2 linked regions of the Daphnia pulex genome follow. The protein of the gene in region 1 interacts with the protein of each later gene in a pairwise test. Links are inferred from orthologs where the notes say so. Each region holds a gene or a part of one and is shown on either strand. Other genes may lie near its edges.

Region 1 (16,592 bases):
CGCTTGCAATGCAGCCGTTGCCATCCAACCAAATTTTTTTTTATCTCTACAACTCGACAAAAGACCCGCAAAAGATCCGTCTGTTAGGTTAGAGTCTGGGTGGTTAATTAGTTAATTAACACAATGTATTCGACAAGAAAAGAAACGAGATCCTTCTACAAAGCAAGCTGAAACTAGACTGCCCCTCTCTCGGCCGCTGCTTCTCACGGCTCTACCGTGCGACACCTAGCGGTCACGAGAAGAAGGGCACACTGACACAACAACTCTCCCCAAGCTGTCACGCCGTAACAAAGAAATTCCCAAATAGGTCGTGACAGCTTCAACACAGAACAAACGAAACACAGAACAAACGAAACCACATGATAATCTGCAAGGGTATACGAGAAAGAAAAATACCCCGCACGCATTTTCCAGATGGGAATGTTGAAGCGAAACATACATCGAGGGACATGGGAATGGTTTTAAACGGAGACAATTAATTTCGGCGTTCGACGGCGCCCGTTACGGCGCGGAGTCGGAAGACCTGCGCGGGGCGCGGCTCTCGTTTGGCCAGTGCATGTGCTCGGGCTGTCATTGCCGGGCTCTTCCGTGTCGGTTTGCGCGCCATCCTTTCCGTCGCTTTCGTCGGTGAGCGCTTGATCCGCGTCTCTCTCTTCACTTTCTTCGGCGTTCACCAGGCGGCGCAGGAAACGCCTGTTTCTCCACAACACACTGCCGCTCGCGAATTTCACACGATATGCGCGATAGCGTCCGATCGCCACGACCACACCTACATGGCTCCACAGCTTCAATTTGGGGTCCTGCACGCGCACGTTGGTGCCGATTGGCAGGGATTCGAGGGCACGCGAGCGAAGGTCGTAGCGTGTCTTGGAGTCCGCGTTGATTGCCGCCTGCCGATCCCTCGCCTCCATGACGGATTTCAAGCACGTCGCGTACGCCGAACGATCGGCTGGGACGATCGAACGAAGCTAGTGTCCGAACACCATTTGCGCGGGTGACAGTCCGTTCTCCCGGGGGGTGTTCTGGAATTTTAGGAGCCCATGTTTAAATTCTTCCGCATCTAGGTCCCCGGATGGGGAGATTTTCTCGACCAATTCTTTGACGGCCGCTTCTGCGTGGCCGTTACTTTGACTGTAGTTTGGCGTGGAATTGCTGACGGCGACACCCCATCGGTCCATGGCTGTTCGGAAAACTCCAGCGTCGAATTGAGGTCCGATGTCGGAACGGAAACGCATTGGGACGCCAAGTTCGACAAAGTTGTCAATGACAGCGTGCAAGACTTCCCGCGCGGTTGGGTCCCGCTTCCATCTGTGGACGACCGGCCATCCGGATAATCGGTCGTCGTAAACCAACACATGGAGCTGACCCGACTGGAACAGGTCGGCTGAAACGTCCTCGAACACGTGTGTCGGCAAGGGGTCGGACATCATAGGCTCCTGCTGGCTGCTGGGCAAACGTTCCTGGCACGTAGAGCAGGTGGGAAGAAGCGTTGTGATTTCGTTAGTAATGCCCGGCCAGTATACAGTCTGTCGGGCCCGCCTGTTCGTCTGCACGATCCCCTGATGGGCCGCGTGGAGCTTTTTGAGGACGTTCTTCCGGGCCGCCTGAGGGATCACGATCCGTTTACCAAACAACACAATACCATGGTCCACTGATAGCTGGTGCCGGATGCCCCAATAATTTCCCACTGCGGCGGGTGCGCGGTCTCGACGGTCAGGAAACCCGGATTCAATCGCTACGATTAACGCGGAATAATCATCGTCGTCCGCGGCCAACGCACGGTTCTATTGTCGGTGTAGTTCTTTGGAGTTCTACTGTCAGCAACCCAAATATAGACAAAGAAGAAATCTGTACTGAGTGGAAATGAAATCGTATGGCTCGCCCTATCCTTTCCTTTAAAGAAAATTCACGATGGTTTCAGATTCAGAGTAGGCCTAGTGATTAGCAGTAAAGAGGTGAAAGTCAGATGCAGTCAAATTCCAGAAGGAGGGTACCGAATCCGTAATAGGTGTGTGTATTAAAAATTTTAAAAAAAAAAGAACGAACTGACAGTAGTAATTAAGCCAGAGATATTTTGTTCTGAATAAGAGATGTATACAAAAAGATTCACATACATTCAAAGTAAAGGGAGGACATGAACACAGAAAGTTGATTTTGCAAGTTGTCTATGAAATAAATAAGTCATAGATTTTAGTGCATGCCGGTTTTTAACTCTACTAAAATGATTATATTTTTATAGCAGATTTGCACACTAACTCAATTGACGATTGTTTTCTCGTCTCAACCCGCGTTCATCATGGTTATTCAAAGCACGTCAATAACAAGACAGTGAAAAAAAATCAATCAAGTTTCTATATCAATCCGTTGTCAATAAAAAGGGGAGAAGCCTAACGATTGATGACAACTGTATGAATAAATGTACAGTACAATTTTTCAGAGAGATATTTAGCACAACGTTTATGTGTTCATGATATAACTGGCTACATGGAATTCTTTTTTAATGGGACAAAGACTAGTCACTGAACATTTTCCAAATCATGTGAATGTTGTCGGATTATTATTTACTTAAAGGGCCACGATTACTTATTGTTTGATGGCGTTATGCTTATTATAATTTTTTTTTAATACACATCTTGTTGGGAGAACTGACGTTGTGTAGTTCGTTTTAGGCAAGAATTAGCACGCCGACTCTTCAATGAAATTCAGGTGAATTCGAATACATTACACGTAAGGAAAAAAACTACCCAATAAACATATTACTATTCGGATCTCAATCAACTCACAACAATTCTTGCACTTCAATTCAACATATCATGATTTCAATCAATTTGTTGTTCGGAATAATAAACCCATGCAATAAAGCACCTGATTTCATTGAATCGACATTAGTTGGGATACCATGTGGCTGAATTGTTGACTGAAGACGCTGACGAGGACTTGGACACCTGCGGATGGTAGAGGTGGAAGCCGGAAGGTGTATGAGAATAGAACTGGCCCGCGTCGGCGGACACCAGGGGCTGGACGGAAGCATACTGATGATGGGATCCGCCTGAATTGTGATGGTGGTGGGCATGGTGGTGATGTTCGATGGAACCATGGCCATAGTGGACGTGATGGTGAGGCTTCAATGCCAGTGGTTGTGTCGGATTGGCAGAGTAGGAAGACTCCGCCGAACCCAGACCACTGTACGCCGAATGACGTAACGAAGCCTCGGCGGCGAAAAGAGCGCCAGCGGCTGCGTCGCGAGGCGAAACTGACGACGGAGGTGTCATGGCCGGCAGATATTCCGGTAAAAAGCTTCCGGTGGCTGCGGAGTGGTAAGAGTGAGAAGAGGTAGGCGGGAAGACGTCACCGGGATAGTCATTGCCACCGTTGACGCCGGTAGGTGGAGTCGGCAGCGTTTCTCCATTGGAAAAATAGCCAGACGGAGTGCGTCCGGCCGCTGCGGCCGCAGCTGCGTGAACGTTGGCGCGTATAACGCTCTCCCTGCTGGCGTAGAGCTGGCGGAGCAACGACGGAACCGACAGGGCAGCGGCCGTCGCAGCTGACGATGTCGAACCCGACGGCACTGGCGGAGCGCCGATCCATTGAATAGTCGATCGTGGCTTACCGTTTGAAAGAAGTGCATCGGTACTGAAATCTGTGGTATTTCCATTCAGTCCATTTCCATCAAGGTCCCGATCCTAAAAAAAAAATAAACAATTTTAGCTCGACTGGCCATTTCAAATCGTTTGACAAGAGTTTTACCTGAAGAGATTCGTTTTCCATGGCACCAGCGTAAAGCCTCTTCCAGCGAGCCACGTCGACTTCGCTTTGGTGATCCGTCAATGTGTTGGGATTTTGCTGATCTTGGATGGATGCGCTCTCGTTACTGTTTGAATTGTCTGTGGAATGATGTTGATTGTTGTTGTCTAGGCCAATCATTGAACTGTCGGTCGCTGACGGAACCGACACCAGATCTTCGTATTTTCGTTTTGCGGATCGATGGTGGTGATGGCGCCCGGAAGGACCGCGACTGGTCCTCATTCCCGACGAAACAGATTCTTCCGGTGGAGCCGTAACGACCTCTACTTCAACCTCGGAAGATGGCCGACTCTGTTCGGAGCTCGGCACGGACGATCGATGCGGATCGATCAAAGTCGTTCCGCTTTTCGGTAAAGATTCCGAGCTTTCGGAACTGGACCCATCCGGCGAACTATGGAGGACGTCCGACGCACCGTGATCGGTTTTGAAAATGGTTGGTTTAATTTGGATGATGGGCGCCGATTCCAGCTGGCACTGATCCACTACCAGATTTTTCATTTCCGTTCGGCTTCAAAATCAAATCAAACAGATTAATTATCCAGTTTAGTTAACAAATAATGGTTGGTATTTGTTACCTGAGAACGTAGTTGACGCAGACGATGCTCTGTTCGTCACCGTTCTTTGAGTTACAAACTACTGTAGCACAAGATTGAATCCAGGTGAATCCTCCGTGACGATTTAGGATCCGGTAGTAGGGTGTCATCACCTGTCCTTTATGCATCACTAACACACAAAAATACGTGGATAATAGCATAACTTAATTTCGCATCAATAATTAGAGAGTCTTACAATCAGTGTGGGCTTTACGCAATAGGCGGACATCTTCCACATGACATAAAGTATAAAGACTCCTGCCTGTCAGATCTTCAGCGACGAATTCCAGGAGCTCAGCAATCCTAATTAAGTAAAAGAATCCCGATATAGCATTACATTTATTTTTAAAAACTTTTGCTGCCTTGGATGTTTACCTTGGTTCACAGTGAATGATCCTCAAATCAAATGCCAGTCGCGTAACAAACATGTCCGGCTCAAGCCGAACTTCGTGAACGGTGGGCGGTGGTAGGGCAATAGCCATAGCAATCATTCCGAGTAAAGGAACCGGTTGGTTCTGGCCTTGCGGGCCACTACTCGGCTGCCCAACTCCGGATTTACCGGCTGTATACGCTTGGCTTTGTGGCCGAAGTCGACAGAGAACCATCACCACCTTGAAAATTCAAAAATAATGACGTGATGAAATATTAAGGAAATTGAATTTGTTTAATTTTGAAAACCCAACAATCAATTACCCGATAGCCGGACGATTTAAAGTGGCAGCCGCGTTTCGTTAGTGTCGATTTCATTCGAATGCAGAAGGAACGGTCAAGGCCCTGATAGGCCGAATTACTCTCAAGACTCATCAGCGAAGTCACTATATTGGCAATTTCGTTATAAAAAAATTTAATTTTAGATTAGGAGTTTTGTGATTTCAAGTTTTAAAATAATAATAATAGTAATACCATCAGGATTCATGCAAGAGTTTCCATCATCAACACTTCCAGTGCCAGAAGCAGGCGACGGTGGCAGTTGTTGAGACGAGCTTGTCGCAGAAGAACTGGCAGACTGGTGGGTCTGATTAGTGGCCAGTGTAAGGCCCAGTTGTTGGGCCAATTCGGCGTGATCTGCGGTATGGACGTAATCGAAGACACTGCTACCGGTCATCTCGACCTGTGACAGGCCCAAGTAGATGGACACCGTTTCGGAGATGTAGAGGAATCGTCCGTCGGAGCCCAGGGAAAAAGCGAAGCCGTCCAGACTCTGCAAGATGTGCGTGCCTTGGTGCTGGTCGAACAACTCGACGTGAATGTTGGCCGGTATCGAGTTGTGTTGTTGATGCTGCTGCAGCTGCATTTGGTGGTGCGGATGCTGCTGCTGCTGCTGCTGGTGTTGATTATGTTGGTGGGATCTCGAACGACTGTTACCTATAAACGAATGTTTGAATTTTGTGTTTTAATTTATCGATAATCAAATGAACAGAGTCCTCGTATAATAGAAAGCCTTTTGGTTTTGAACCCGATTTTTTAACCTACTGTGGTTACTGTAAATGTCAGAATTCGAACGTCACTTGTTCACGAGGGAGGGAGAGGTAATCGAATTCAACTTTCCATGACAAAGGAGAAGGGAGACTGACAAAAGTTCGGGTTGGGGGGTTTCTACTGTTCCGTTTCTCTCTGTGGTCTGTCTGTGTGCTGGTGCGACTGTAATATAGAGAAAACCGAAGGGGGGGGGGGGGGGGCATCATTGATTCAATTCAACGTGATGATGGATTGTCATCGTTCAGCCAATCGTGAAAACTAAATCCTCCTAACGTCCCTTCGTTTGTCCAAAAAGCTACAACTGGGTAGTAAAGTTCATGACGCGCGTATGTCATGATTAGTTCGTCACTTTGACTAATTGATCAAATCAGTGGAAAAGTTGGCATTTGCATTTACCCCCAGACAGACAAGCAGGAGAGACTGTAAAGTCTCTAATGAACTTATAGGCCTACGCATGAACATTATATACTAACCTTTGTTGGCCTTGTTCGATGATGAGGAAGAGGATCCTGATGCCGACGATGACCCTGTGGACGACGTTACGTTTGACGAAGAATTTGAATTGGCGGATGAGATTGACGAAAGCGACTCCTTGATCCAGGCCGGGTCGCCGTTGCTGGAGAAATCTTTCAGCCGGAGGAATGATATAGTCAACCTAATGATGGACGCCTTGTCCAGTTGGGAAGTGATGGCCGGCGGAAGAGGTAACATCTTGGCCAGTTCGTAAAATTCGTAATTTTCTTTGCCGCGACGGGACCGCGCCGCATCTCGTGATTTCTCTTTACGCATCTCCAATATACTAAATCATCCAAAAAAGGGCAATCATGAATATTGGCTTCTATGAAATAGAACATACGGTAGTTTAAATATGCAGATCATGTCGTCAAAAATTTCCACCACTGGTTTATCAACCAAATCAAAAGTCTCTCAGCTATTTCCACAGTCTCGGTCACTCAATTGCTAAAGGTGTAAACCGTTTACGAGTGTGTTTTTTTCTCTCTCTTTTATACTCTGCCTAAGCTATAAATAAGGACGACGCAATCAAATGTCAACGGTTTGAAGCCAGTACTACCGGTAGCCAATATAAGAAGGTTGGTTCAGTAGACGACAGGCTTGAGCAGTCGTTCTCCAAAATGGGTCTTTTGGGGGAGTAGGGCAACTCGTACATTGCGGGTTGCCCAATATGGCATACAGTGGTGAAACGGCTGTTTTCACACTTGTGACCTGTCGTCTACCCTCCCCCTCCCCTGTCATGGTTATATAGAACTCGCCTTCTTTGATGCTCTGTTGTGTCTATTATATAAGAGCTTGTCCGCTCAATGGTCGCCGCTGTTTCGAACCGTGCGATGACTATTGCGTCTTGGGTGTGTCCCAACAGGGTCGATCCTCCAACAGGGGGGAGTAAAAAAAATGTATATAAAATAAAACGCTGGCCCGTTGTTTGAAATGATCCGGACCACCGAACGGTTCCCGACGGAATACAGGCGGAGAAATATACGTACGAAGGGTGGAATGACACGGGCAATAAGAAGGAAGAGAATAATATTTATTATTCTGGAGAGAGAGAAAAAAAAAAGACCAGCGGATCATATTTGTACCAGCAGCAGTTAAACGTTGGCGCATATAGGAGGCCTATTGATGTAACAGCAATGTCAAGGCCTACACAATAACACCCTTCGACTGAAGGGGGTCGTTTTGATATCCAGGGCATATAGGGTCAGATCAATAATTGCCGGGGTATTCAGATGTAAATGAAGTAGGACTAGTCACAAAGCGCATATCTGCCTCATATTTAGGGTGGCAAAAGGATGATCAAGTACACATGAATAATAGACGCCCCATGTCCATTTAATAATAAATACGGCGTGTTTCCATCGGCGATCGCAACAGCATATGCCTATGCTTGAAAATGACATTTATAACACGTACACAATGTCTCTATGAACCTCTAGTTATTGTTGGGCTCTCTTTCCAAATGGTATCACCGAGATCGTCTATTATTTTTCAAGAAATAGATGGCGATTGAGATAATAAGAATAAGGATCTTTGTAGGTGGGTGTGAGAAGTTGGATCGTTCCATCAACCGATTTTCAATGAGCTCTTTGATGGGACTTTTTGAAGTGGGCAAGAGGGGAGGATTGGTGACTGGGGGGCACGTGTCGGTGTTAGCTGTAAACACAACAAGGCGCACTCAAAATGCGCGACCATTCCGCCGGGGCCGTTTGTTGCGTTTGAGCGACAGCTCACCCCATTCTTCATATCCCTTACAGATCCACGCAAGTCGGCAGCTTATGTTTCACCTGTATAAACGTATGCAATACAGCCTGTAGGCGCATACATAATCACACACATCCTATAACCGGAAAATGTGATAGCCTTACCAGCGAAATTGCCGGCCGTCCGCCTCTGTTGTGACAGTAGATGAACTGTCACATCGTCAAACCACGTCGTGTGCCACCTCCCACGTGCATACTTGAATGGAAGGCTAATTGAATATGAGCATATTCCAACATGCCATAACTGATATTTTTTTCTTTATTTTCCTCTTGCTCAAATTTGTACATCGTACGTAATTCAAATAACTTATACAAGGAAAAGTTACGCAATATGTTTCTCCCTTTTGAACTAACGGTCTTCAATAATAATATTCTTGAAGTCACGAAAATAATAAATCGAAAATGGTTGCAGTAAATTCATTTTAAAATATTCGCTTTGGCCTCATCATCGACTAATCCTTATCGGACACGCAAATGGCCTGAATTCAGACTTTTCCTTAAAAAAAATATATACATTTCAAATGACGAAGTGTTTGCCCATGACGAACGCATACAAAGTGTAGATCGATGGGGAGTGACAGAGTGCAACAAAGTTGTTGAAAAGATCAAAAGAAAAAGTTGCTCGGAGGGATATAGCGGCCTATTGATTTAGCTGGGCGCTAGCCACATGATATCGAACATCAGTAGATCACACCGTATAGGTCAATTTGAAGGCTTAGGCCGAAGCAAATGAAACATCTATATAGACTCCCAAGTCTTGGACAATCAAATTGGTAGACTATTATATAGAGGCCTATATGCGACGGCCTAGATGGAGAGCTGAATGAAGTGATCAAAAATGCGCATCGCCCTGGTCATGATATACTCTCGTGAGGATATAATATCCATAAGGGAGAAAGCATCTATACACCCAACCAGGGTAACAATAACACCCTCCTCCTCCTCTTCCCCCACACACACAAAAAAAGGCCCAAAGTAAAAGGAGCCATCAGCTGAAGGGAAATAAAAATATACAGCACACGAGAAAGGGAAACCAAATTAGCCGCCATATTGCTTCCGAAAGATTCGGCTGCCGCTCCGGAGCGTCTAGCCTGCTAGATCCCAGCCGGACAGACACCTCTAGGCTCGTTGATTTCGCGCCGAGAGACAGAAAAAAAAAGAAGAGAGAGATATATATCCATCATGTATGAACGAATGGCTCTATCTCTGGCATCAAAGTTAATCCTGGAGTGTGATGTTGGCGGAATCCTCCAGAGGGTGGAGGACAAGCTAGCGACTGGACGATTGGATTATCCGTCAGCCCCCCTCTTATAGTACAGCAGTAGTGTACACTATATACTCTCTCTCTCTCGTCTTTTCTATTCTCTTGATTCTTTTTATGTACTGCGTTCCGTGTGATGGCCGTGGAACCACTTGAGAGCCAGTTGCAAATGGCTCAAGAACAAGTCCACAGATAAGAGAGAGAGAGAGAAAAGACCTGCACAGCCCGGCTGCTGGGTCTCAATAAATCAACTTAGCATTTCGTTCCCCAGTTGTGAACTCCCACTCTCTCTTCTTTTACTGATGCCTTATTCTACCGACAGATCTGTCCAAGAAGAATGCCCATCCTTCCAAACTCGGTCGTGTTTGTGGCTATCACGAATAGAACATTACAGTTAACTCTAGAAAATAAAGCGATTCAGACAATGGCTAGACATCAGACGAAATAGCCATAAATTAGAGAAACTGATGGACGAAATTCCATCACTGTCGACGGAAGCTAATCTCTGCGATCATCAACGATCGATGCTGGAATAAAATTTAAAAAAAAACATGCACACTAGAGACGGGCGATTTCATCCGAATTTGTAAATATCTAGCCGAACCAAAACCAAAAAAAAAAACTACGTGAAAAATGCGGACGCTTTCGTGTTCTTCCGGACTGACCATGAATGAGTGTAAGCAGCGGAGGAGAGAGGTGAGCGACGTTGTTGCTGTTGTTGCTGCTGCTGTTGCTGGTGTTGTTGCTGCTGCTGCTGCTGCTGTTGGTGCTGGAGCGACGAAGCCAATGCGGAGTAATCCGCAACGGCCGAGTGGTGGTGTCCCATACTGGCGTGACCGACCAGGGTTCCGGCCATGGCAGCGGCGGCGGCCGCCGCTGCCGTTAAACTTCCTGGACCGCCAGGGTATTGATGATGCGAATATGGCGGCAGAACCATCCAAGAGGCGGACGAAGACTCGTCAGCACTGAAATGATCGCGGATTCCGGCGGCGGTGGCGGCGGCTCTTCCGCACAAGCCCAGAGCGTAACCGGCCATCACGGGCAACAACACAACGGAAGTAAAAAAAAGAAAACGAAAAAAGAAAAAAAAAGAAAACGGGCCAACCGCAAAAGAAACTGTCCCGTTCAAGTTGAATTCTGAATTCCGGAGGGCGCAGGGATTCGAATCATCGATTCCGACCAGGTCACTACTACAACTGTCCAGTAGCCGGATGCTCTTGCATATCAATGATTCGAAACGGAGGGTGGACTACTGACTTGCTTCCGCTTTTTCCAGTCCCCAAAAACCGAAGGACGTGAAAAAGAAAAAAAAAAACAGGAGGAGGAGCTAGGAGCCCTAGGTATTTGTTATGATGTGAAGGTTCTCTCCCGCCCTGCAGCCCGTCCGTTGTTCAACCGCCCTTTTTCTTCCGAATGTGACCGGGCTGATCAAACAACTCGTCCGGCACCGGGAGCACGATTTGGCTGTGCAGTCCAAGTAGTTCAACAGAGAGAAAGAGAGAAAAAGAGAGAGAGAGAGAGAGAAGCAGGTACGCACTTACTGCTAGCCACTGGGATGGAGACTGTCGCCGTCGACTCCTCATCCGTCCCATTTGGTATGAGCGCCTCGTTCTTCATCCGCCCCCACCTCCCTCCTCCGCCTACTCCCGACCACCCTCTGCCCCCCCCCCCATTTCTCCTCCTACTCGATTCACTAAATAAAGACGGGCCGAGAAGGAAAACGCGAGTCCACAAATCCCAAGTCCCATGTGCAATCGATTTCGTCGACGCTTGTCAGTTGAGTCTTGTACAAAATGTCGATTCGACCGTCAGACAAAAAAAAAACTAACAACCGCGTCTATCGTTTATAGATAATACACAACCGGAATTCCGCTAGCAGAAATAAAATAAAAGTAATGTTTTTTTTACACCAAATATCCGCATCAATCATAAAAATAGAAGAAGACAAAAAAAATCCCAGAGAAAAAACTTTGATTCACTTTGTCGTTCAAAAAATGTCTACACGTTTCTGTTTTCAAGTTTAGATTGGTCGTGGGACTCTTTGGCCCACTTCTCCTCAGTTGGGTGGTGTAAAACTGTGAGAGATTTCTGGTCGGCTATATTAGCCGCGTCAAGGCGTATCCGGCTCTAGTGATTCCGGATATACCATACAAAGTGTTTATACGAGTATTATTTCTACCCGAGGACATGGGACCTGATATCGGCCGCTTGCCATGGAACATTATAACATACTGTACAAATAAAAATAAAAGAAATGATATTTACACACTTCGAACAACAGGAAATGTCTGGAGATGTTTATCAGCCGATCAATAAGATGATCGGATAAAAAATAAAACTGGAGATGTCGTGTGAACCGTTCGTCTTTTGTTTCCTAAATGACCATGGCTTCACGCATATCAGCGACGCCAAGAAGAAGAAGATTCCCCGGTATTAGTCCGACGTGCTGTGATTATTATTACACGTTCTATACGACTGATAACAACAAACAAACAAACAAAAAAGCGAGAGACTTATTTATATTTCCCGTCACACTCGCACGCCCACAGTTGCACGTACTTGGAATAGAGTAGAATCACGCCGGCGTGAAACGTCCGATCGCAAACGAAAAAAAAAAATAATAGCCGCACTGGAAATTCGTCTCGGTCAGTTAAGACATTTATTATTACAAATTGCCATCGAAAGAATGACACACAATCATAAAACACAACGACACTAGAAACATGCGCTGTATAGTCAAAACACGGGACGGGAGTCTGAGGAACCTCCGGCTATTGACAGAATGGGGTGGGTGGGTACGTCCGTCAGAGGAGAGTTGATGAACTCGACAAACGCAAACGGTAGCCAATCAAATTGTATTATCAAATCGAAACCCACTAGCGCATCAGCGCTTCTCTTTCTCTTTCCCACTCTATAAATAGAGACGACGGCGACGTCGCAGCGTCGTACATATAGGAGCAATTAACCGCCGCGTATGTGTAAGTTGGCTACCGTGGTAGGAACCCAAGAAGAAGAAGAACCCTTCATTTGTTCATGGAAATTCAATGCAATTACACACATCAACCATCGCCACTGCGCGCGCGTGCTCCCGCCTCTCACACTCGCAATATTGGATGCGGACGGATCAAAAGTACACACACACAGGAAAAGGAGAGGGGGGGGGGGGATTTAGTGAGGGGGGTGAAAAAGGGGGTTGAATAGAAAGAAGAAAAAAAAAGACGGCAGTGGCTGCTATACGTATAGGCCTATGTATATGCAAGTATTGGATTTGCGACCATATAGTCAATACATGGCGAGGTCTTTCCGTTTTCGATCAAACCAGAAGGCTGGCCATCAGCTAACATACAACGAACCCTCCAATAGACCTTGATTACCCCCCATGGCAGACCTTTAGAATTTTTCTTCTTGTGTCATTTCACTCCCCCTTTCCCTTCTGCTCGTGTGCTTACATACTAGGTTAGCTCGGGTAATTCAAATATGTTGCACGAGCAGTGCCGAGCTTTGAAATCGCTCATTCGTTAACATGTATCGGTTTGGGGGAATTTTCGGGGGTGGTTTTGGTGTGGCAAAAATAATCGGACTAGCATTATTGACATTTTCGATTGAGACAAGTTTTTTTTGAGTGAATTCAATTCAATTTTCGATTGCGCGGCAAACAGGGCAGGTTTGGTTTTCTAAATGCGCAGCGTATATAATTATAATTTCGTTTTAATAACGTTGATCAATCTTCGTCTATTTGACGGAGCGAATGGATATACATACCGGTGTCATCCAATTTTTCACGGTTGCCTCAATCCTGTTTGAATTAAGATGCGTGTGACAAGACGCTCAATTATTTACCGGCAATTATTCAAGATGGGGGGAGATCTCTTTCATCAGCGAAACTACAGTTGCCTAGATAATACCATCATCGCTCATCAAAACAAATCAATTCAAATGATTGAAGCGGATGTCACGATCCGGTCTCCGTCAACTCTCCGACGACATTTCCAGTTGGCATTGGCTATAACATGACTGGCCGCGTTTTAATTAGTGGCGATGCGATCCCAATGTCCGACTTCTGACCCGAGAATATTATTTTAAAAATAAATAAATATAAAAAAGAGGAAAAACCCCTCCATTCCCGAATTACTATTTCTCATCACGTCGTCATAATTAAATTGATCGCCGGGAAAGGCCAGAATCAAGCAATCGAGACGGCCCAGAATATACGAGAGACGACGAAGATGAAATGAAAAAAAAAAAGGGAAAAACATCAACACAACAATAAGAGCCGACGACCACACCAAACAGCAGCAAAAGAAGAAGAAGAAAAAAAGAAAAAAACAAATTCTGAAGAAAAAGAAAGCCAAGAATAAAAGTTGGCCGGGAGTCAGATGATGGTTTTCAATAAGGCACTAATGATGTTGAACTAAACCCATGACCGTCGTCGCCCGCGCTTCTATTCTATAGGTCACGTGTCAACAGCCGCATCACACACACACACACACACACACACACACAATCACTCTATTATTACCAAGTGAGATGTTGCTGGGCTCAGCGGACGCACCGGCCCAGTACAATTGGACCTATAAATGGTCATGCTGAGGTTGCAGATGATTTTCAACTCTCGCATTGATTGTTACCTTTTTTTTTTAACGTATGGGCATTAAACGGACTTTCTTTCTAATGTTTGATTGGAATAAAAGCAGGGTGTTGGGCAGTGATCACGTAAATATATGGCCGTTATTCAATGTAATCGTGTTATGAGCTGCAGCCAGTGAGCAGAAAATGAAACTGGAAATTGCGGCGATAAACAATATCAGAAAGGAAAGGGGTTTCGGGGTCGCAAGTGTTACGTACATTTATGGTGTGGTGGTCAGTGAGGATAGGGGTGGTTGGTTGAATAGGAGGGGATAACAACAAAAAAAAGGGGGGTTTGATGAGGTTGTTAACGACGCATTAACACATACATTACAGACCAAAGCCGTGGGCAGACCTCTAGATAATAAACGATGTTCGATATGTGTTGTGCCACTGCTGCTGCTGCTGTGTATATAAGCTAATACTTAACCAATAAGTCCAGCGACGACAAATGGCTTTTTTTTCGCCCACAACACACGTCGCCCCCCACCCCATACTCCCAGTTCCTTCCCCTCGAGCCCTAGTAGGGTCTCTGCATCGAGTTGGATATTGCTCTTTCGGTTCACGGGCGCGTGATGAACTGAGATATGGCAGAAGAATGGAGAGTCAAGTTGGATCAAGATGATGATGAAATGGGACAAATGTCACTGTACTCTATTGACTCATCGCTTAGCCTTTTGCAGTGTTTCATCTGCTCGCTTATATCCCTCGCATCTCCACAAAAGAGCCCGGGTATCCATCAACCGGATTGCTGCCGCCATACGTGCCTTCCGTCCCGCTTATCACGCACAAAATACGGACCCCGTCAAAAAGATGAGTCGGCCAAAATCTTTCTTCGTTTGATGTCGAAGTGCTCTCCATTTTTCTCTATAGGCCTACTACTACTACTACTACTCGACTTGGGATTATTTACACCTGAACTGCACCTCTTATGCAAACAGCTTTTTTGGGAGTCGAACATAGTGTGTAGGTGCATGACAGACGTACACAAAGAGCGCGGGACATGTAAAACAGTTTGTATCAATCTGTGAATAAACACATTTCACGTCTGCTGAATTTTTCGCCGACATGTACTATCTATCTGGAAAAGGGACGCCGTCTATTTTTCTATGTGCACGCTACAAGTCTAAATCAAAACGGTCGAATGTTTGCTGTCAACTGTCACGTTCTCTCTCTCTCTCTTCTGCATCTGTCCTTGATGCGTGATTGACATTTCAAATCAGTGCGCCATAATCAGAGCTGCTGAGAAAAACTCTCCAACACAACCGAGTAGAGTACGCAGCACATCCATATTATTGTAGTTCTTTGGGAACGATGTGTGTACATGAGGACGTGTTGCCGACATGGTTCATGACGAGCCTTTCGATGTGGCGGAAAAGTCAAAGAATTTTGTCAATTGATATTTCAGGCGAATGGCAAATTCACTGAAAAACGAAAATTTCGATTTTGGATTCTGGCACGATCGAGTCCCGCGTGTGATACCACGCCATTGGGAGAGTTGGGGAGGGGGTGGGCTGGACAGAGCGAGAGCGCATGACTGCCGATGCTCACGCCCGCTTCTTCGAACATGGAAGAAAGTAGGTGGAGTTTCTTGGGCGTCCGGATGTCGCCACCGTTGGCAAGTGTAGGGAACTGTCCAATCACGAAGCGCGGCGTGAGGGAAGACTCTCAAGAAAGAGGATAAATGGCCGAGGATGAAGGGAAGAAAGAAAAAGAAAAACCACCCAAGATGATTACTCTTTTATGGATGGAATCAAAATCTTGCAACGATCCGGGGGGCTCGGAGGAATCAGCCTTTTCGGACAAAAGAGCCTCATTCGCCATGAATAAATTAGATTTTCCTGTCTGCTGTCGCCCGGCAGCTCCCACATTATCATCAATGTTGGGTGAATAGGTTCATCTTTCGGTCGCGGTAGCACTTGATGGAACTCGTTGAGATCTTTCATCAAAGGAGGGGAAAAATCGGGTGGGTTTCAATATCAAAATAGCAAAAATCGTAGCGCCGTCTACAAATCATCTAGTCGTGTTACTTAAAGTAACGAGATGAGGATCAAATGGACTTGACAATTTCCCCCCTACAAAAGGGACAAAAGACCAGAAGGGTCATAACCGTTGATCCAACTGGAGCCCTTTGGATTTTCTACCGGCCACTCAGGACACACGAAATGGCCCTGGGTAGTGTGTTACTCATCAAAAGTATGATCAACTGACCGAGACCTTTTGACCCAGGGTGTTGCAGTAATTGTACCCAGAGACACCCCGGAAATAAAGGCTGCACCAACTTTTTATTTCATCTTTTCGGCTATTAACACGTACAGACATTTAGGCTTGTGCTTTATGTCGTAATAAATCCTTTGTTGTCTGCGTGCTCATTCATTAAGTTCATTTGTGGTTAATTGCTATACAATGACCTTAAAAAAATGTTCTGACTTGGTTTAAAGTTGCGCCATGAGAAATAAGTTTGGTCGGGTCGAAGGCGTTTCCGAAAAATTGTGACGGCAAAGAAAAATCGATCTGTCATCTTTGTTTTTTGTCTGTTTTATTTATTTATTT
Region 2 (15,022 bases), on another chromosome or scaffold:
AATATTGTTTTCCCTCCTTTTATTCAAGATACGCACCTGCACGATTTCTATTCAATGTTTGATTTTACCGCCAACTATTTAGTCAGCGGGAAAATACATTTAAAAAAACGTTCGTCTTCAATTACGTAATAATGGCGCGTTTTCATTTCATTTTGACTGTAAAAGCCTCCCAAAAAGAAACGACGCAGAATCAAATTACATGTATATAGTGTGTATGGTCAAAAATGATTACTCAACATGAGCCATCAGCTGTTCACCCCCATTTATTATTCTATTTAGAGCGAATCCTCCCGCAGGTGGATTCATCAGCCAATTGACAGGAGAAAGCTAAAAGAGTGAGCTGGGAAAGAGCCCCGAATGACAGCCGGAATTAGATCATGGTTATTCTGCTGTAATAGTCGAAAATTGACCTAGTCACTTCGGATGCCTCGCTGATGGCTTTTTCCCCTAGTGAGTATGTATACAGTGAACCAGACAATAGTTTAAAATGCTCTTAGCCTCAAAAACCCAATCCGCCCTAGATTCACACGTCTGAATTCCAGAGCTTCTTGCTGCTGCATATTCTTATAACCCGATGAAGAGAAAAAGGCGAGCAAGATCAACCGCACACGCACCCAATGCAGCAGCAAGCACAGCCTGGCTTTTCTGCCCCGTGCTCAGGTGTTTAGCTGCAGGGAAATCGGCGCGCAGATGCAGGTAATATTGTACTATACCCTTACAGATTGGTAGAATATGACGACGCAGACAACTTCTTCTTCAACTGTTGAGAATTGGTAGCATGCCAATATGCCAATGAATGGCCGGAATATAACGGAAGGAATCGAAATAATGCATGCCGTAAGTCTCAACTTTCTGCTGTTCAGTTCAGATCAGAGTCCGGAATTCACCCCGAGGACGTTGATTGCGTCATTCATTTTGTTACCCAATTTTATTTTACAATATTCTAGAGGTGAGAAATTTTCCCGGTAGATTTTCCCCCAAAATAAATTCCGATACTTATCAGACCATACCAGGTCACGGCGAAATTCTTTTAGCATTTGCTGTCGTCCATACGGGCTTCGGTCAAATCTTATCGGAAAAAACTTATCTCCTGTCTATGCACTAAAAACCTCCACACCAAACAACATGCACGAGAAAAGATGGACTGGCGTAGATGGAATTAAGAAGGTAGAGAGACCTGCAAAAGTGCTGGCCAATAGTTTTCTCCTTTTTCGTATTCCTCCTCCGAGTATATATCTATACCAGACAGCTACCAGCAGCAGGAGAACTATACAATGTTGAACCGTAGCTCTGGCTTCGTCAGTGCCGTGATTCGAGGAGCGGCAGACGGATCTCTCGCCAACCGGTGGTTTATATTTCTACACGGCATAAAAATTGCGCTTCTTTTAAATGGGCATCTGAGGAAATTAGAGAAGCAAGCATCATCTCTCATCTCCTTGATTACTTTGCGTAATGACGTTGTGTTGGCGTGTTCTAGTGCGCAGTGGGGGCGTGTAGGGGTGTGTTTGTTTCTTTTCGTCTTAAGCGCAGCCAACATCTCTTGAACAATTCAAGTGCAGAGCAGCTGTAATCTCTCTCTACGTCAAGGAGATAATTAGGAAACTTAGACAGAAAGAGACTGGCCGTCTTTTCGTTATCGCAGTCTCGGAGGAGGGCGGCTCTTTGCGCAGCCGCATCGACTCTCCTCACGGTTTGCGTGTCTTGTCTCGTCGGCCAAATTTACCCTCCATCGCCCCTACTATACTGACTCTGTTCCTTCTGCCGTTCAATACGACGGGTGTTGTGTGTGTGTGCGCTTCTCGTCGCAACAGTTCCACTTCCGAAAGGCGACCAGCAGCCAAACCCATCGAAGCGTTTATTTTTTTTGTTGTCTCCATCGATTTCTTCATCTCGGAAACTTCACAACCCGGAAGGGCAACCGTCACACTCGTCAAGTGAGTTTTAACTTTTTTAGTTTTCTTTTTCTTTTTTTTTAGAGCAGTCGATTTTCTGACGATTGAAGTTTTTCTTTTTCTTTTCCGTACATCGTTATATATACGCTTTGTTGATACTCTTATTCGGACTGGTTATGGCTATCGGGGTGATGGGAAGCTGCTGCTAAAAAGTCGTTGTGGTCTTGTTTTGTTGTGATGCGTCTCGAGTGCGCACGCTCCTTTTTGGATGGATGGATGGATGGGGAATACTATAGTACAACAGAGACGGAACGAATTTTATTGTTTCTGGAGTTATGAATTTCTTCTGTCCCATTTACTACCATATCAATCACATTCCAGTTGGGAGAACATTAAGAACCTTGTTTCCAACGGGATATTCTGTCAACCGAAAAGAGAATAAATAATAAGAAAAACCAACAAGGGCGTCACGCATTTCAGATCGATAATATCAGACCTACCCAATAGATCACCGACTTGAGCTTTAACTTGTTGTCTTTTGTTTTCTCCTTGGCTTTATAAGGAAAAAACATCCGTCGGAAATGTCCGAAAATCGGTCTGCATTGATTGCGTCTTTGCTGTTATTCGGCTGCGTCATATCGTCCGCCCTACCAGCAGCTCCAGGAGGAACAGGTATACATAACAAATGATTTCCTGCTATACTGGAAACTGCGTCACAGCACGGGTCCTATTCGCTTTTCTTTTGCGAGTTTTCCTAAATTCATTCCTTCTTTATTTTTTATGATTTTCTTCCTGATTTCTTTTTTGATTTTCTCATTTTTATGGTTTTTGGTTTCATTCGCTTTCCCATAACTCTAACCGATGGGCGCACAATAAATAAGGTGGTGGATATCGAACGCTCAAACAATCCCGAGCGTCATCTAATAGCAAAGCAAACATAATGCCAAATCTGTCGGTTGGGGTCGGCTCTTTGGCTCGGGTTGTTGACGGGCAAATCCAGGAGAGGCAACTCGAGATTTCCTGGTGGTCCATTGATGGAGGATATCAAGAGGGGGATCAAATAGTCCTCTACCAGTATGTTTCCGAGACATCTTTCTGCCAATCGATGGGCTCTGCGGTGATTGAGCAAACGACGATTGACGCCGAGATGGCCAACGCCTCCTGGGTCCGTCTCAACTCCAACATGCCTCATTGGGTAGCTGGAGATCTGATTGATGAGCGCTGTCAATATTATTGGGCGGCTTATGTCCGCCTGGACGGCCAAATTGTCGCTTGTAATTGCCTCCGAGCCCGTCCCAATTGGATGGCCGACCTCAAAGACACCGGGATTAGCGCCGCCAAATTGAGGGAGCTCTATTTGCCCGGCACTCACGATGCGGCCGCCTACGAACGATATGCCGGACTAAGCTCAGACCAAATTGATACCAAATATGCTATTACTCAGGCAAGTTTTATTATCCGTACTCCGTAGACGAATAATTAGTTGATGAATTTAAAAAAGGTCTCTCCGGCTGAAAACAATCGAAACTTTTGGCCAAAGACATTTTTAAATCATTTAAAAACTTATACGCCCCCACCCAGGATGAAGATCTCTTTCATCAGCTTTCGTTCGGTGTCCGTTATTTGGACATGAGAATCATTTTCTCGCCCAACCTACCCAACGGCGCGGATGTCCGTTTCTACACTCACCACGGATCCTACATTTTGCGCCCACTGGTCAACGACACGGCGCTCGTCCGTGAATTCATCAGCCGAACGGAGGAGATTGTCATTTTTGACATCCACGGCGTGGATAATTTGGACCAAGAACCGGGAGCCCACCAGGAACTGCAAGATCTCCTTTATCAGGAATTCGGCCAGTGGATGGCCCCGGCCGACATGACCTGGGAGGCGACTCTGAACGATTTCTGGTCATCGGGTAAACGATTGATCGTGACTTACAACGATCCCAATCATGTTGGCGCGCCGTACTTTTGGCCAGCCGTTAAACATCAGTGGGGCAACGTCAATACCGTGGAAGACTTGGAGTCTTATCTGACTGGCGTGATGGAAGACGCTGCTCAAGGGCAATTCGCCTGCAGGCAAATTCCAATTGCCAATTGCAGACCATGGTCTGCAATGTCGGAACTCACGCCCAACTCGCTCGACGTCATGACCGATCGGCTCGACGGTTTACGCAACGCAGCGGACCTCGTCAATCGTGTGATATATGATTTCATTCCCATTATTTATATATAACTGCCAATGATCAAATGGCAACTGGAACGTGTTATTATTATTCATCTCAAAATGTCTATTCGATAATATTCAGGTAACGTAACCAACTGGTTCCGTGATCGCTGGTCAGAGTTGGCCAACATTGTGTCGTTGGACTTCTTCTTGGGTGGGAACATCGTCGATTTGGCTATCGCCGAGAATCAGCGTCGCTACCCTTAATCAAGAAGAGTTCAGAGATTCAAATTCCTTATAGTGTCGACCCGTCGTGCCGCTTATCTTCCATTTTTATTATACACTACCACGACCGCAGCTCGTCGGGAAAGGTGGTGGTGGTTGACTTATTGCTGGTGTTTGCTTCAGATTTCCTTGACATTTTAACAAACAAAATAATAATAAAAAAAGAAATTGATACCAAAAATATTATTGACACGGGAATAAACCAAACAAACATGTGAACCGTAATGATAAGGTTACGGTGGTTGTTGCACGGATGACGCGCGTCCGTCAGATAAACGGCTTTACTGGGTTCGCGATTGACAGGTTGATCAACAGTATTGACGTGGTTATCAATTGGACGTCAACATATCTATGTGTGCTCTGCATGTAATTTTCTTTCAGAGGAATGCTGGACAAGTCCGCTCTATCCGCCCGCCGAGAGTCCCAGGGTATTCCTAACACTATCGCCGCTGGCCAAGAGTTTGCCCGGTGGTAACAGCCAGCAGAGGCAAATCGAACTCAACTGGCACGGCAATGGAGCGGCCTCTCAACCCGGCGACTGGATTGGTCTCTATGAGCACGACCCTACAAACAACCCGACGCTTCCGCTCCGCCAGATCGCTGTGGCAACAGGAAAGAACAGCGGCTACCACAAAACCGACGTTCAGTTCGGATTCCCCGCCGTCGACCGACATCTTTTCACTGGAGATTCGTCCTGCCTCGGCTTCTGGATCGGCTACGTCCGCAACGGAGTTACCGTCAGCAGTAATTGCATCAAACTTCGTCCTTCGTGGATGTGGCAAAATAGGTAATTTCGATTGGGTTTCAGTCATTTCCCGTTACTTCACACATTATGGTTACACTTGGGACAGGGAAAAACTCGGTTCTGTGCCTCTTTACCAACTATTCCTTCCGGGTACACACAATTCCGGAAGCTATCGTCCGTACAACGGCCATTCAAGCGATACAGGTATATAGGCCTAGCAGTTTTAATATCGATCAATTAGTTTTTTATGCTGGATTTTGAAAATGACCTCGTTTTCCATTTATTCCCTGGAGTTTTCATGCGATATCTAATCTGCCAAGATGAAGACATTTTCCACTCGCTATCCTACGGCAAGGAGCATTTTCTATTGAATTCAACCGACCTTATATAACAAAAATGTTGGCCTATTATAATAGGAATCCGATATCTCGATGTTCGTGTCGGCTATTACCCAGAAAGGGATGACAAATTTTGGTTGAATCACAACTACGCCCGAGTCAATCCTCTCCGTTTCCTAATTGAAGATTTGAAAAATTTCTTGGAAGGTTCTCGAATCTTTTAATAATTTCAAACCAACTCACTTAAAAATATCTAATCAGTTTTGGGTTATTTTCTGAAACAGTGACACGCGAAATCGTCATTCTCGATTTCCACCGTTTCCCAGTGGGCTTCAGTCAAAACACACTGCGCAACAGAGAAACTCACGACCGATTGGTTAAATTGTTGTCGGATAAGCTGGGCGATTACATGGTGCCGTCCAGCTTCGGCCCCATGACGACGATGAATGATCTGTGGGCAATCAATCGAACTCTTATCATTGTCTATGCGGATGATTGGACCCGCTCATCTCATCCTTTCCTTTGGCCATCCATTCCTCAGGTTCGTTTAATTTTATTTATTTCTGTTTAATTGTGAATAACATTTAGACTTTGCGCCCAGGAATGGGGTGACAAAAGAAACGTCGACGATCTCTACAGATATTTGTCGGTTATTGATCACAAGCGATTCGATTCCGATTACTTTTGGGCTGCCATGGCAGAATTGACTCCATCAACAATGGACGTTTTGTTTCGTCCTAATGACGGGCTCAGAAAATTGGCGGATAATGTGGCCAGGAACGTGACGACTTGGTATCGTGATCTCTGGTGGAAGACGACCAGTATCGCCGCTGTCGACTTTTTCCATTCTACCGATATCATCGACGTGGCTATCGACGCCAGTCTCAAACGTGCTCGTTGCTCCAGCGTAGTTCCCACTACCCTTTCGAGTGCCACGACAATCCAGCAAACGGCAGCGGAAGAACGGTCGACAGCAACCGATAGACGGAGATTTTATCTAGGGCCTCGTAACCTCGACTTTGCTGAATCGACTTCGGAAACGACCCCTATAAGTCTAGACACGACCAGTCCCTCACCGAGAATAACTGCACGCAGACGAAGGCCCAAGAATAACACGACAGCAATCGTAGCGCCAAATTTACCGGTTATTACCACTACGAATTTAAACTGAACATGCAATTATTTTAATCTATACCCCGGTGATGATGACTATATCGAACCCAGTTTTAAGCAAACCCACTACACGACACGTTTGATTGTATTTATTAGTGTTATTGCTTGTATTGTTTGTCATGATTTAGCTAATATTAATAACCGATTCAGGCTATTTTCTGTTCGTGTTGTTTCCGTACCTACAATTTTTAACACGCAAAAACTCGAATAAATCCACCAAATAAAATTTAGAACATGTTGCCAATTTCCTTAAGTGATGGGGTATATAAGGATGTGCATATCATTTGTAGGTGAAAACACTTTTTTAACCATTTAATTACAGATGTGACTGGCAGGATTGACAGTCAGTGCAAGGAGTGAAAAATTTGTCTTTGAAGGACATTTCTATTAAACTCAACAATATTAGAACACTTTAACTTATTGAAATCATAAATTAAAAATCACAGGAACAGTAATCAATCAGAAAACCATATACACATTCATTAACAATGCAAAAAGTCTTCGTACATTAAACCACCAAAACAATGACTCGGTTATCCATAAATAACAAATTTGAGATTTTATTGAATTATAATATAGACTCGGATGGTAAAATTTAGTTTCTAAGGGATGTCTTCGCCGGAAGCTCCGGAATCGTCAGGAGTACAGGTACAGCCCATCGCGACGCCAGTGGAGACAACATTTTCCATCAGTCCGGTAACAGTGTTGTTGAGATTGATTTCCAGCAGCGTCATAATTTGCTTGCAACTGCGGCCAGCGTTGCAATGCTTACACGATCCCCGGCAAACGATTTCGGTGTACTCGATGACAAAGTTTCCTAGGTGATGATCCATTTCCAACGTTCTATTTTCCACGCGGAAAGGACACAGAGTTTCCGAATGATTACCCAGGTCCTCGACTTCAGTGGAGATGGAAACAGTCGGAAACAGTTGAACTGCATCGACATTTCTTTGCGATGATTGCGCTCCTTGAATGCGGAGACTTTCGTTGTGCTGTACAGACTCCAACAACGGTATGGCAAAGCAGTAAGGTACCAAAACGCAAACAGTAGGCAAAAGAGCAATGCAAATGCTTAAAAACTTCATGATTGTTGGACTGGAACGAAACAGGGAGCGGCGAAACAAAAACTAAGTGGGATTAAGTGTCGTTCCCAATGAAGAAAACCGTTCTGATGGATCGACGGCTCGTACCGCATCTTATATATTCTTGAATCGGTTAGCAATCAAGCCTCCGAATGGAATGGAGCGAGCATGTAGGAAATCCGTGTCAGTGTAGCATAGGTGGAAGCGGAACGGGTCCCGCGAGTGAAAACTGTACAACAACCAAAGTGCGCGTCCATTCTTTTGGCAAACGGGAAAGTATGTACGCATGCCGCGCAGTCGGGCATTATTACATCCTATTTCAATTTCCCAGCTAAAAGACGTGATTTTGTACGTCATTCGGCATACGTAAGAAATTGTTAACCTATCTCATTTTCGCTAATCTTGGCTAGCATGTTCGTACAATGTGGTCGTTTATTTACCACGGGATTTCCTTTCAGCGTCTTAGATACGGGGACAAAATCCCACCAATCTCTTTCCAAAAACCACAAAAACCAGAATCGTTTTCAAAATTAGGATGGAGGAGTTGTAGAAGGATAACCAAAATTTCTACTGCTTTGCAAATCGCACCATTCTTTGACGTGTGATTCTTTATCCTGCAGGTGTGACAAATGGAAGCTAAAATGTCAGATGGGAATGTAGTCCACTGTTTACGTCAATACACTACGCCCGGATAACAAAACTGCGTAAAACGTTTTTTCGCGTTATTCCCTCCGAAGGACGCATTGCATATACAGTTGTGGTTTAGCCACCTCGTTAAGATTCGTTTGGTTTCGCCATGTAGGAAATTAAGAAAACAACACCGAGGAAAAGTCATAGACAACATCATTCATTCAAGTTCATAAAATATATAATTGCATGTTTCGAGTCTACGATATTACGACGGTACTAGATCAAGATTGTGCAGCTCACAATAGGAATGGGTTCACGTATTGTCTATCTGTTAAAAGAGACGGAGAGGGAAAATGGAGAAAGTAAAAAAAAAAATGGTTGAGGGTAGTACATGTGGTGGGTAGATAAGTGAAGTTAGGTATTTTGATCTTTACGAAAATGAAAAACAGAGAGGTGATATGATGGCATGATGTTTCGACGAGATCGTAAAACAAGCCAACTCAAACTTTTCTTCCCACTTTCACGACTTGACAGTTTTACAAATTACTGAGAAGAAATTAGGGTTATTGAGGGAGAAGGTGAGTGTGTAAACGGAACGCCACAGGTGACGATTGTCTCGACAAGAAGGAAGGTTATCCCATTCGCCTTCACATTCAAGAAGCTGCTCAATTTCAATCATGAGCACAAGGGGTTGGTTATCAATACGTGATGAAACAGAAAGAAAGAAAAAAGATTAACATTCATACATATTAAAAAAAAAACTTGCACTATTCCATTTAGAAATAAAAAAGCTACCAAACTAAATCAATTTTGAAAGAAAATTGACAAAACATGAAACAGCATTAATTCTCTCTTTAGAAAAGAAATGCAAATTGGATCGTGGTGGGCCAGCTCTTGAACTATAAAACATTCGGGTGCTGCTGATTTCTTATTGGTCAAGAATTTGAGACCCACTTACTGACGTTATTCGTTAAAATAAAGAACTGGAAAAGTAAAGCCCTTGTTTACAATGCTCAATGCATAATAAAACAAATTTAATTTTTAAAGAGGAAAAAAAAATGCACTCATATGGCATGCCGCTCCGATGCTGATGGGTGTGGGGAGGGACATATGGGTAAAAACAAATACGCTCGGAGTGCACGGCAACAGTTCTCAAGGATGGAGATGAATGACCTCAACAATACAACATGTAGTAGGAGCACAAAAGATGCAACTATTTTTTTAAGGGGGAGGGAGAGGGGGGAGGGGTTTAACGTTACTCAAAGTTTGACGAAAACATGTTCAGATCTTCGAAACCTGACGCACCAGAGTGATCCAACATCTGAAGCATGTCCGTCACTAATTCAGATCCTTGAGGAGGATGACTGGCCGATGATGTAGTTGGCACACCAACTCCACCACCTGCAACCCCTCCGCCAGTGGGACCTCCGTTATTCGGGCTAGATTCCGCGGGAGGAACTACGGGTGATTGCCAGTGCCAAAGTCCTGTTTAAATTACCATTTAATATAAGCTTTCAAAATAATTAACCAAATAAATCAATTTACCTGAACTTTGGTGGTATCCAGCTCGGCCAGTTGTTGCAGAGCTGCCTAGCTGCGTGTAAGTTGGACCAGAACTTCCTCCTGCCATTCATTATAAAATAACATTAAGAATAGTACAATATTTTTCATTTGTCAGGGGAAAATACCTGGAGATCTTGATGGGCTTATTCCTTCGTAAGCGGAGTAGCCACCCGGTGCAGTAGCGTGTGTTGACCAGGCAGTACTTCTAAGGAGAGAAATTGTTTAATAAGAACAAGACAAATTGAATGAAGCATCTATCATACCCTGCCGAGGCGGTAGGGCTTGGCGACTGTTTCGTACTGCTACCCGAGGGTATTCGGTTCAACACAGAATTGGATGAACCTTCGACAGACTGTGCTGACGCTGTTTCGTACTGTGACGAGGCAGCAGCTGAAGGATTATACATGGTCTGATTACTATTCGGGCGTCCTTGACCTTCAGACAGCGACTGTGCATGATAAACTTCACGTGCGCTTCGTCCGTAATCTTGGCTGGCGTGACCGTAGGCAGACACCAACCCACTACTTGTCGCCCCAACAGCTGTGGGATCGACTACTGTTCCTGAAACTTCTCCAGAAACAGTCGCATCACCAGTATGGTGCAAAGATCTAACAAGGAAAACAAACAAACAAACAAATTCAGTCTAGATGAACAGAAAAGAAAAATATCATAACTGAAAACAAGTGGACTTACTTGGCCGACGTATTGGTGCAGACGATATATTCAACTTCATCAGTGTACGGGTTCAAAAAAGCAAACGCAGATGTTCGAAGCCAGATCCAGTCACGCGACTTTGATCGGAATCGGTACATGACCGACATCACCTGGCCTTTCAGTTTGAGAACTTGCTCAAAACTTTCTTTCATATGGCTGACATCTTCCGGGTGGAATAAATCGAAGCAGATTTTGCCTAGCAGTTCAGGAGGAGAATAGCCGAGCAAATTGAGTGCACGCTGGTCAACAAAAGTGAATTTGCCATCAGCCGAATGACGTGAGATGAACTCTGCGGCGGAATTGGATCCAACTAGGTCAGAAGTATTTGGAGTAGAAGTGACCTGAAGGCGACCAATGGCCACTAGACAGCAGTGAGATCCAGAGTGAGAATCATCATCAACTCCTCGATCCATCGGTACGCCACTAGGCGGCCAATTTTTGATGTATCCTGTGCAATGAACGACGGCATAATGATGGCCATCGCGCGAGGGACCTAAGGCGGAACGTTGGCGTAGTCGATGTAGAGGGCCTGAAGATAAATGGTGTCAACAGAATTCACAAAGTTGTTCAACAATACACTACTACCTGGTGGTGATGTAAGAGGATCTGGTGACACTTGCCCCAACCTCATTCGGCAGATGAACCCTCGGCGCGAACCCATACATAACCGCATAGATGCTACGATTGAAATATAAATGAAGTGGTTAAAAAAAGAAATCAATGAAATTTCATGGTAAAAAATGTTTACATTGATGCCCCTCTTTTTTGACCGTTCCTGTTTTTAGGTCGAGAATACGACCGGCATTAGGAGGCTCCTGGGTAGACAGTTGCTCACGGACTTTCTCCACGTCGTCCGGATGCAAGTGGTCGTACAGACAAGAGCCGAACCAGTCACTTTGACCTTGGTGGAGGACTGGAGTCACACTATCGGAAACGTAAATCAAACGGCCAGTGTCACAAGCCGACACAAAAAGAAAGCCGTCGGCTGCTTCAAGAATCAAGTGCTTCAATTCTTGATCCGTGAGAAAGGAAGGTTTGTAGGTCCCATCGGCGCTTGTATTTCCCGTTCCTGTTGAACGAAAACAAGAAAGAAATGTAATGAACAAGTCCGTGATTGGCAATGTAGAAAATCAGACCTCGGAGAGCTTTCATGTGGGCTACAGCCATTCGAAGAATCGTCAGCTTGTCTGGTTTGCGGGCCAGTGCTGAACAAGTGGGCACCATATCAGACAGCTCCGTGATGTAAGCCGTCATTTTGTTGCGCCTTCGGCGCTCGATTTCGCAATGGTTCTCCCTACATAAAAAATAAAAGGGCGGCGGACAACATCTGCAGACTTTTCGACACTTACAAACTAATCGGACCCTTTCCTAATAGGAACAGACGTCTCACAATTGTGTACAACTAGGTGCTAATTCTTACCTGGCAAACCGCTCCTTGTCTTGCATATTGTCGTCCTCCATCCTGCCGAATTTGCTGGTACTTCCTTCGTCGTCCGAACTGATCAAAGTGAAGAAAATGAGAAAACGTTTAACACTCAAACATTTTTAAATAAGTAAAACACTACTGCATTAGATCACAGACAAAAGTTTGTGAATCACAAATGGGCAACACTCGCGCAAGTCGGATGCGGATGCCTTCAGTACTTCTATAAAGAATTCTTTAAATGTTGACCTCGAAGTTCGAACGCTTCTATCTCGAATCGTGACTGAATATTTGTACGGGAAGAGGCCGGTAGGAGGAGAATGTCTTTGTCTGATCTTTACTATTTAGGAAAATGGCTTTTTTTTCGGTTCCGGCTGAGCAACAACAATCGACTCTGATGGTGATCAATCTTCCTGTGTTGGGTAGTGGGTAGAATGTGCGCTAGAGGACTTACCCAAGAGAATCGGGTTGCCTTTTTTGCCGACAGTCTGATCCTGTGAGAAATACAAGCAAACAACAGAAGACATTACGTCAGTTCATTTTCATAAATTACCATCTAGCAAACGTGCGCACCATGGAACCAACCAGACAATAAAGAAGAAAAAAAAAGGGAGGTTGGACAACTTAATGAGCGGATGAACGCGGGATACTGGAATCCACGGGTGAAGAGTACGAAAACGTGAAAAGAATTTTCAAGTCTAAGTCTCATGGAAACGAGATAAAACTGACGGGAGAAGAGAGGAAATTTTGCCTCAGGCGATAGATCCATGCCCCAAGAAGACTGTTGACCCTCAGCAGCTGAAAGCAAGCTTTCCTTTTTCTCTCCCGCAACTAACGTTCAAGCTAACATTTTCCCACGCAACTGATAACTTAGAAATCGATAACATCGCAAATCATCCAACCCAGTTTATTAAAGCGGATATGAAAACAAAACCTTTTTTTTTGTACGAAACTATTTGTCCTTTGCATCAGCGAAAAGGAGACGTTTTATACACGATCTGAAACAAAGAAACAATCAGGGGAAGATAAGGGAAGCTGCTTTTGCTTTGTTGCCTAATGACATAATAGATGTGGGAATGAGGGGAAAAAGGTGCCTGACCTGCTGAATAAATTCTTTTGCACACTGAACTCTTGAACCCATTATAAAGAAATTAACTTGAGCTACATTAAACACAACTAGGGTTATTGCGGGAAACCCATCTGAGGTAGTAGTAAACACAATGTTACAGTATAATCATTTGATAATTGAAAAAATAAGAAAATTTAGATATGTTTCCTGTACACTAGTAAGAAAATCTCTATTCTGCTTTACATTCAATCACTTAAGTGGTTGGTTATAATGGTATAATGCACTTTAGCTTTTCCCCTGGCTTTACGCCCAATATAAAATTGGGTACATAGTAAAACATCTTAAGCGTGATAAAAACAGATTTTTAAGATATACAATTTCTTGATAACAAATAAACCTAAAGGCAATTACCAGACAGTTGATGAAGTCCTGCTAAATGGATGTCCATGAAGGAAAAAGGAACAAAGCTGTCAAAAATGTCCCTCAACCTTAGATTCCTCCCAATACTCCGAATTAGACCTTCTCCGATCAAGTCTTCACAGTTTAAACGTGTTGTACACAAACTATTTGTAGTTTTGCTTTATCTGTGCAAATAAACTTTAAAAATGTCAGTTTTCACTGCGTAGAGCTAGAAACCAACTTCTTCGCGTCACAATACGCCTAGCGCCATGTTTTCTCTGAACGTGGCAACATGGAATACGAAGAGGGAGAGAACTTTTTGATTCTTTTCCAAATCGAACTTTGGACCGGTAAAACTTTATTTTAAAAACTGATATAAATTTTTCAAAGTATCAAATTTCAATAAATATTTTTTTGTGATAGGTTCTGAAAAATTATTGGACTGTCAACGAAACTTTAATCCGCAACTTAACAAATGGCAACACTAACAAATAGCAGACGAATTAAAACAAAAATAAAAATGTAGAAAAGCTCGAGTTCCTTTACTTCCGTAATCTTTACATTGTAACTTAGACAACTTGGTTTTTATTTATGTTTTCCGATGTCATCGAAAACGAAGAAGCGGTTTGACAGGCTGATCAGTTGCGTTAAATCCAATAATGTTGAACAACTGAAACATTACGCAAGAAGAAGGAAGTATGCTAAACTCCACCTGGACGAGATAGGTGTCAACAAAAAAGGAGAAACATTGTTACATCTGGCGTGTCGACAAGGAAAACATGAGATTGTTGCGTTCTTGTTGGAAAATTCTCTTGGAGACCCAACTTCAATGGATTGCAAGGGCAACACACCACTTCACCTGGCATTGAAAGCTATCATGAAAATTGACGGGAGAAATGAATATTTAACTGGTAAGTTATTTTTCGAAATCTATAGTAAATAAAGAAACTAGTACATTCAAATATTTTAGCTTACAGGAAAATGATACTTGCTCATCTTAAAGAAATGGCTGTTTCATTAACACAACCTAATCTGGAAGGCCAAACTGCCAAAGATCTTTTGGATCTTGCTGATTCTGTCTATGAGTATCATTTAGGAGGAAATGAAAAAAAGACAGAGTTTTCTCAACAGAAAGATGAAAAAGAATGGCAGAAGAAACTTTCAGCAGAACTAGATGATGAATATGGAAGTCACTGGGGAAAATATGAAGAAGATTTTGTTCAAGAGGATGTAAATGAAACAGAATCTTATGACTCCTGGGCCAAAAGAATGATTGATGAGCATAAGAAAAAAATGTCATATCAAAAGTTTCATATTACACCACCATCCCCACCAAAATTGAAGCCATCCTGGTCTACGGAAGATCAACAGCAATTCTTGCGGGATGAAGAAATGCGGAATGAATTTCGAAAAAAGGCTAAAGCTACTCAAAAGCTTACTACATTCCTTACCAAACTTAGTTTGTTGATTCAAACTGAAGATCAAATTGAAATATCAGACCTCCCATTTAAGCCCACAGATGATGTTGAATCGATTGGAC

The links.
Region 2: the proteins of protein trachealess-like (region 1) and aryl hydrocarbon receptor nuclear translocator homolog interact in a two-hybrid assay, tested with the Drosophila melanogaster proteins (3 studies listed by BioGRID). The link is inferred for Daphnia pulex from reciprocal best matches to the Drosophila melanogaster genes trh and tgo.

Annotation. Positions count from the first base shown.
Region 1 is NC_060024.1:9,200,539-9,217,130, forward strand, and holds protein trachealess-like, read right to left. Parts: upstream 10,985-16,592; 5' UTR 10,450-10,984; coding exon 10,079-10,449; intron 6,676-10,078; coding exon 6,350-6,675; intron 5,763-6,349; coding exon 5,301-5,762; intron 5,213-5,300; coding exon 5,091-5,212; intron 5,009-5,090; coding exon 4,773-5,008; intron 4,701-4,772; coding exon 4,594-4,700; intron 4,528-4,593; coding exon 4,380-4,527; intron 4,313-4,379; coding exon 3,748-4,312; intron 3,684-3,747; coding exon 2,886-3,683; 3' UTR 1,987-2,885; downstream 1-1,986. UniProt on the Drosophila melanogaster protein: Transcription factor, master regulator of tracheal cell fates in the embryo, necessary for the development of the salivary gland duct, Malpighian tubules and the posterior spiracles.
Region 2 is NC_060018.1:4,545,009-4,560,030, reverse strand, and holds aryl hydrocarbon receptor nuclear translocator homolog, read right to left. Parts: upstream 13,303-15,022; 5' UTR 12,784-13,302; coding exon 12,588-12,783; intron 12,509-12,587; coding exon 12,469-12,508; exon of another isoform or gene 12,162-12,468; coding exon of another isoform or gene 12,157-12,161; intron 12,090-12,156; coding exon 12,012-12,089; intron 11,889-12,011; coding exon 11,728-11,888; intron 11,661-11,727; coding exon 11,340-11,660; intron 11,270-11,339; coding exon 11,177-11,269; intron 11,121-11,176; coding exon 10,571-11,120; intron 10,486-10,570; coding exon 10,141-10,485; intron 10,083-10,140; coding exon 10,003-10,082; intron 9,938-10,002; coding exon 9,860-9,937; intron 9,800-9,859; coding exon 9,570-9,799; 3' UTR 8,516-9,569; downstream 1-8,515. Other genes in the region: PI-PLC X domain-containing protein 1-like, read left to right, coding at 2,474-2,564, 4,728-5,133, 5,198-5,295, 5,385-5,441, 5,508-5,636, 5,714-5,970, 6,031-6,600; NF-kappa-B inhibitor-like protein 1, read left to right, coding at 14,084-14,393, 14,453-15,022. UniProt on the Drosophila melanogaster protein: Heterodimers of tgo/trh are involved in the control of breathless expression. Plays a role in the cellular or tissue response to oxygen deprivation.